Cricetulus griseus: one gene and its partner. The protein of the gene in region 1 purifies or fractionates together with the protein of each later gene. This does not show direct contact. Links are inferred from orthologs where the notes say so. Each region holds a gene or a part of one and is shown on either strand. Other genes may lie near its edges.

Region 1 (4,033 bases):
TTATTATCTTCTTGCCAATCTGAGAGGGGCCAGGAGCAATTAGAACCTTCCACCTGACTAATGTATGTGGTCACCACAAACACTGAATTCAATTGTCCAAAAGTAGTTAATAATAATTCTGTTACAAAATGAACAGCCCTGGCACTGTCACTCACTGCTGGCCAGGTGTTCCCTATGCAGTAGAAGCTAATAAATTCCCCAGCACTCAGTAGGACAAGACTTTTTTTTAAATGGGAAGAAGACTCAAGTCTCCCTCTCACCCCCACAAAGACACAGAAAATTCTAAAACACAAAACCACATAAAAGATATGCAAAATTGCATACGGCGTTCCCACAAGTCCTCTTTCAAATGTACAACACAAAAGAAATTCCTGTTCGGATTACTATTTTTAACTGAAGAGTCAAAGAAAAAAAAGAGAAATAACTTACTTAAGATAATTGAGCTTGAAGGTGAGCCAATGATAAAATAGAAATAGCAACCTTAACCATGGAATTCAAACCACAGTAAATTTAAGAACCTAAAGAGGCTTAAAATAAAAGCAATTCCAAATTGCTAGAGCTGTCCAACTAATAAGAATCAAAGGAGCTTTGAGATGAGAAATTTTTTAGAATTGCCAGGACACAAATAACACGGGATTTGAAAGTACTTTCACCTACCTCTAACAAGTAGGGTTCTGGGCAAGCAAATTTTCTTTGGGTGCCCAGAATCATAAACACCTGCACACAGAAACTCAAAATTTCAATGAACAGTCAAGACTCAACAACCTCCATGGCAAAATAAAACATGCTTTATATTTCAGCTTTTTCCAAATGTTCTAGTTTTTGATTGAATCACAGAAGGGGGGGGCAAAAACACCACCAAGGAGTTTCAATTTTCATATGCCAGAAAAAAAAAAATAAACCGAACTACAACCTTCACACAAACAATCCCCGTTACTGTTCCCAGGGTAACAAGAGAAGATGATCAGGAACGCCAGTGGAAATTCTCTGGTAGCTCAAACAGCCTGGTTAAATCAATAACTGGCTTTCATGAGTCCAAGAAAAGACAAGGTTGCACTCTAGATTTTTATCAACCTCTGACACTTTTGAAGCAGAACTCACTTTTCAGTAAAAGGGACAATAAGAAAGCTTCACTCCATCATTAAAACTGAATTATAACAATTACATATAAAATACAGGGCGTCAACAGACAAGTAGGATGCACCATAACCTTGCACTGTGGCGACTGAGGAAGTAACATCCCATTAGGATTGTCATCAGCAATATTTTATAAGAACATGCCTCAAGTCTTTTGGCTTTATATAACCAAAAGGAAGTGGTCTCACGAGTTCACAAACACTCTGGGCAGGCAGCTAGCTCAAGTTCAAGCAATCAATTTACTTTTTTTTTTTTTCTTGCTAAACCCTCTTAACAAGAGCCTCTGTATGAACATAAATTCTTTGCAAAGTGTATTCAGTTCCTCTGCAAAGTGCCTACCTCTAGTGCAGTCACAGCGGTTCAGTGTGATTGCAATGTCCACGGGCCACCTGCATAATAATCCCTTAATCAGCTGGCTAAAGTACTGTTTCTAAGCAGAATCTCGGGTTCAGTGTGTTTCAAATGAGTCCTAGAAACAGCGTTTTGAACAAAAGTCCCTAGGTATACTCCCACTGGGCACTCAACTTTGAGAACCACTCTGCTCAGGGACGAGATTGGTCCTTAGCAATTGCTTCCCGACACACACCTGGTTTAAATTGCCCACACTCTAAACGCTTCTCGTGTCCTTGAAACCAGGGGAGGCGTCCCACCCCCGCGGTGTCCAGTGACCCACACTCCACTGCCCACGAAGTAGTCAGGGAAGCACTTCCGACCCTTCCCGGAAACCTAACTCCCCGCAGATGAATAAACGGCGCTTCCCGGGACCCCCTGCCGCTGCCAGCGTGGGGGAGGGGAGACAGAAGCCCGGGCGCCCGGAGGGGAGGAGCCGCTCGCCAGCTCGCCCCTCCGCAGGAATTCACGGGGGGGGGGAAGGCGGTGTGTGCAGAAAAAGGCGCCGCAGCCCACCGGCCGGGCGGCCGGGGACCTCGGTGCTCGGCCGGCCCCGCCCCCTGCTGCGGTGGGGCAGGGCCTCGCCCCTCCCCCGCCCCGGGAGCCGCGGGAGCCCACCCCCAGACCCCCCGCCGCGGCCCCCCGGGCGCTCGCCTCACCAGGCGCGCGGCCTCGGCCCACGTGCGCTCCTTCTTCCTCTTCTGTTTGTCCTTCATCCTCCTCCTCCTCCGCGGCGGTGGCGTCGGCGGCGGCTCCACGCGGGACCTCCGGCGGGCGGGTCGGGGCGTGGCGGCGCGGGGCTCGGGTGGAGGCGGCAGCGGCGGGGGGCGCGTGGCGGCGGCGCGTGCGAGGACTCGGGTGCGGCCGGAGAGGGCGGCGGGCGCACCGGGACCGGCTGGCGCGAGACCCGGCGCGAGGGGCGGTGGGGGAGGGGCGGCGGCTCCACGCGCCCGCGCTGCGTCAGTCGCCCACGGTGGCGGCGGCGGTGGTGGCGGCGGCGGCGGCGGCGGCGGCAGCGGCGGCGGCAGAGGCAGCAGCCCCGCGATGGCTAAGGAATGCGGCGGCTCCGCATAACCACGGGGTCAGAGGTCACGGCTCGGGCCTCCGCTTTCCCGCGCTGCTGGGAAACCGAGACCGGACTGGTGGCGAGCCGGGATGGCAAGACGCAGCTTTCCCTTCGACGCCCGGGTCCGTGTGTGTCAGCCGTGGGTGTGTGTGTGTGTGTGTGTATGTGTGTGTCCGCGTGTGTGAGAGGGAAGAGTGAGGAGGGGGAGTGTGGGTTTTTTTTTTTTTTTTGAACAAAAACAAACCGAAAGGGTAGCTGGGATTTGTAGTCCTTACTAGCTCCTCGGCCTCCCCCGCTCCGGAAGAAAATGGCTGCCTGGAGTGCTTGGACCACATCTCCCGGCGTGCTCCGGGAACGTGTTTTCCGCCCACTCTCTTCCGTACCCTGCTGCGTTCCGAGCTCGGTAGAGAAGGGGGCGGGAAATCGGTCAGGAAAGGATGGGGCGGGGTCTCGCGAGGTTCGGGAACTAGCGGAGCCCTGAGGGTTTCTGGGAGGTGTTGCTGGGAAGGGGCGGTGGCTGGATTCCCCCTGGCCGCGTTTAACCCGTTGCGAGCCTTTCTTTCGGGTGCTAGGGCCGGGTGTCCAGGGAGGGAGAGGATCCAGAGTTGGTAATCCACTCGCTACCCTGCTTCCACTTTGGGCCTCCCCCTGCATGACCGCTTCTCTGCTGCACTTCTGGTGGGTAAGGAGCAGGGCTTTCCCTTTTGGTCCGCCCTTAAATGACTCAACAGGCGCACAGTAATAAGTAAAGAGACATTCATATCAGTACAACGGTTATTTCTCGATTGACCGACCTAGACGATTACCCATTTCCTCTTGTACTTTCATACCGCTATGTATTTGCCGAGGGTGCACCTGCAGTCGACAGTAGAATTGCTGTCAGGTGAATTTGGTAATGCGGTGGTAGATAAAGACTTAAGGGCCATGTAGATGAAAATGCACCTGAGTGTTATTTTAAAGGCAGTACCCTGGAGAGAAGTCAAGTCCTAGTATCAACCGAATCTAGATTTAGAAAACTAGCTGCCACTCCGTGACTCCTCTTAACCCCTCTGAGCCTCAGTTTGACCTGTGTTAGCATAGTATCCCACAACATGGGGTACAAATTAGCATGGACTGCCTACAAGATCCGGGCGGGGAGAATGTGGAGGATCCTCGTATTATGAGGTTCGTGTGATTTGGCTTCTGGCATGGAATAAATGATAGCTGTTATTACATGCTCACAGTGATTGCCGGTGTGAAATAGGATGAGGTTTGGAGCACCCAGAACATGAAGTATTTTTCTCTGTGCATTTGTTGGATCGATGTCCAGAAACATTTCTACAGTCTATCTTGAACTGCATTAATGGTCCATTAAAAATAACAAAAACTGTAAAAAAGCGATTTCTGTGGATGAGGAAACTCTCTATACTCTATGGTATCAGAACACAGGCAGCCAGTGCT
Region 2 (3,500 bases), on another chromosome or scaffold:
ATTTGATGGATTAGCAACAGGGTTACAGAAAGGAGCTAGTATTTGAAATGTGTTTTTAAAAAATGAAGAAGAGGCCAAGCACATTGTTACAAGCCTTAAAGCCAAACACTCAGAAAATCTGAGACAAAATCATGAGTTTGTGCACTCGGAGGCAGAGGCAGGTGGATCTCTGTGAGTTCCAGGCCAGCCTGGTCTAGAGAGCAAGTTCCAGGACAACCTCCAAAGCACACCGAGAAACCATGTCTCAAAAAAACAAAAAACAAACAAACAACCAAAAAACATGAGTTTGCAATCAGCCGGCGATCAATCAATTACACAGGATCTCAATGGGAAATAATATAGAGGATTAGAGATGACTCAAGTGATAAGAGTGCTTGCTATGCAAGCAAGAGGACCTAAATTTGGATTCCAGCATCCACATAAAAAGGCAGATGTGACCACACATGTGTACCTAGAACCTCAGGTCTGTGGGGGTTAAAGACAGGAAGATGAGCCAGGTTCAGTGAGAGACCTGGTCTTGAGAAAATAAGGCAGAGAGTGATAGAGCAAGATCTCCACAGTTGGCTGGGTCTGGTGGCACAAACCTTTAATCCCACAATTTGGGAGGCAGAGACAGGTAGGTCTCAGTGAGTTTAGTTGACTACAGAATAGCCAGGGTTATGTAGAGAACATGCCCTGTCTCAAAACAAACAAACAAACAAACAAACAAACAAAAACAAGGCTGGAGAGATGGCTCAGAGGTTAAGAACACGTGCTGTTCTTCCATAGGTCTTGAGTTCAATTCCCAGCAAACACATGGTGGCTCACAACCATCTCTAATGAGATCTGGTGCCCTCTTCTGCCATGCAAGCATGCATGCAGGCAGAACACTGTATACATAATAAATCTTTTAAAAAGCCTGCTTCTTAAAAAAACAATCCAACGCCCTACCTAGACCAGCGTGTGAACCTGCAAGTTCACCTACATGTGCACACTATGACATATACCACATTCACATGTACATGTACATATACCAAAAATAGAAAAAACTAGGGTGGCATGTACCTATAATCCTAGCAACTGAAGAGTACTGCCTAGTGAGATCCTGTCACAAAAAGGGGTGCAGGGCTAGAGATGGCTTGGTGGTCAAGAGTACTTGCTGTTGCTCTTGAAGGGACTACATGTAGAAGTCCTCACCCATATGGTAATTAACAACCATCTGTATGCAAATCGAGTTCCAGGGCATCCAACTGCTGACCTCCAAAAGCACCAGCACATACATGATGTACATACGTGGTGCACATATACACAAGCATAACACTCATACAGATTAAATCTATCAAAAAAATGTAAAGCCAGGCAGTGGTGGCCTTTAATCCAAGGACTCAGGAGGCAAAGGCAGGAGGATCTATGTAAGTTCCAGGACAGCCACAGAGCTGTTATAGAGAAGCCCTGTCTTGAAAAAAGCAAAAATGAAAATAATTATGGGGAGGAGGAAGGATTGTGGTTCGGAAAAAAAAAAATTGAAGGGAAGAGGCATTGTAGTGCATGCTTTAACTCAGAAATAGATGGGCTTTTGTGCTGCTACATTTTTTTTAATGAGATGGGGTCTCATGTAGCCTAGGCTGGTCTTAAACTAGCTGTTTAGCCAAGGCTAGCTTTTGAAAGAAATCTTTGACACTACTATTACCCTTCTTGACTTTGTTCAATATTATCTTATCTTGCTGGGTGGTGGTGGCGTACGCCTTTAATCCCAGCACTTGGGAGGCAGAGGCCGGTGAATATCTATCTGTAAGTTAGAAGCCAGCCTTGTGTACAGAGTGAATTCCAGGACAGGCTCCAAAGCTACAGAGTAATCCCGTCTCAAAAAACAAACAAAAAAGCATCTTGTTGAGTGCAGGCTCAATGCCCAGAAAAGTTATACATCAAATAGTTATACCACATTTCTATTTTATGTGCAACTTAAAAATCATGCCAAATATAAATGTAAATGACCAAAGAAATAAGGACAAACTGCCCACATACAGTAGTTTCTCCTGTTTAATGCCCATCAAAAACTACAATCGTAGAAGTATGAGGCCCTCCATCAATTCCTCATACAAAAAACACCACTCTATCAATAGTTTGTTTTTCAAATTTATCCAAAATTTAGAAACTGGAGAGATAAAGGTACTTGCTGTGTTTGCAGAGGACCTGCATTTGCTCCCAGCACCCATGTAATACCTTCTGTAACTCCAAGTTTGGGAGATCTGACACTCTGTTCTGGCCTCCTTGGGCACCTGTCCTCATACATGCACACAGCAACATACTATACCAAACACATACTTTGTTTAGTATGAAATCTTAAGACCTTAGAAAAAGGGACAGTGTTTTGCCTACCTGAGAAAGATCAATGAAATGATTGGCTTCTGCCATCACCTTCACTCGGAAGTTTGTACCGTCATCTGGGCTCAGGGCATAGCAGAACACCTGAAAGGCAGGAGGGTGTACTTAATAACCTTGGCTCCAACCTTCTCAAGACAGTGAGCTTAATACCAATGACAGAGTAAAGCCACCAAAAACTATGCTTACCTCAAACTTATCAGGATTGTGCATGCCTGGAATAGACTGCATAAGGTGAGAAGTAGGGTGGTTCCCAAAGTCAGAACTCACATATCCCACACGCAATCGTCCATCACTGAGTTTCAAGTCTTTTGGATGTTCATATGGTGGTTTATGAAGGACATTAATCTACCGACAGAATACAATGTTCATTAGTAAAGTCAAGTCTTGTGTAAATCTTATCTTAAAAAAAAAAAAAAAAACTAATGTAGGGCGTCAGTGGTGCAGGTCTTTAATCCCAGCACTTGGGAGGCAGAGGAATGCAGATCTCTGTGAGTTCCAGGCCAGCCTGGTCTACAGAGTGAGTGCCTGGATAGGCTCCAAAGCTACACAGAGAAACCCTGTCTCAAAAAAACAAACAAACAAAAAACCTGATAACGGGGGCTGGTGATATAGCTCACTTTGTAGTGTGTTTTGCCTAATATGCATAAAGCCATAAGGGTTCCATCCCCAGAACTACATAAAAAGCAGACTTGATGGTGCCCTTCATTGATCCCAATCATCAGCAAGTGAGACATATGGATCTCTGAGTTTGAAGGCAGCCTGGTCTACATACTGAGTTCCAGGCCAGCCAGTGTGACATAGTGAGACAAAATAAATGGACTGGTTGGTGCACTCCTGCGATCCCTCCAACTGGGACGTGGAATCAGAGGTTCGAGGTAATCCTCAGTTACAAAGAGAGTTTAAGGCCAATCTGGTATACATAAGACGCTCTCTTTTAAACGATTAAGTATAATAAATGAAGATAGAAACCTAAAATCATATAAACCCCTAACTATGAAAAAATCTGGACAGTAAACTTCATTGAATTCACGTGGCCCCAAGGAAGGTGAGCAGCTGTATGATGGTTGCTTCATACCTCACCTGTTCTGAGACTTATGAAACAGCCTGAACAGACTTCTAAGTGAAGAAATGTGAAT

The links.
Region 2: the proteins of Asxl1 (region 1) and Ogt purify together in Homo sapiens (affinity purification with mass spectrometry; 3 studies listed by BioGRID and IntAct, with this or other methods). This does not show direct contact. The link is inferred for Cricetulus griseus from reciprocal best matches to the Homo sapiens genes ASXL1 and OGT.

The regions. Positions count from the first base shown.
Region 1 is NC_048599.1:26,660,312-26,664,344, forward strand, and holds the start of Asxl1 (polycomb group protein ASXL1), read right to left. Parts: upstream 2,801-4,033; 5' UTR 2,244-2,800; coding exon 2,187-2,243; intron 1-2,186.
Region 2 is NC_048604.1:68,611,924-68,615,423, forward strand, and holds part of Ogt (UDP-N-acetylglucosamine--peptide N-acetylglucosaminyltransferase 110 kDa subunit), read right to left. Parts: intron 2,710-3,500; coding exon 2,551-2,709; intron 2,449-2,550; coding exon 2,359-2,448; intron 1-2,358. UniProt on the Homo sapiens protein: Catalyzes the transfer of a single N-acetylglucosamine from UDP-GlcNAc to a serine or threonine residue in cytoplasmic and nuclear proteins resulting in their modification with a beta-linked N-acetylglucosamine (O-GlcNAc).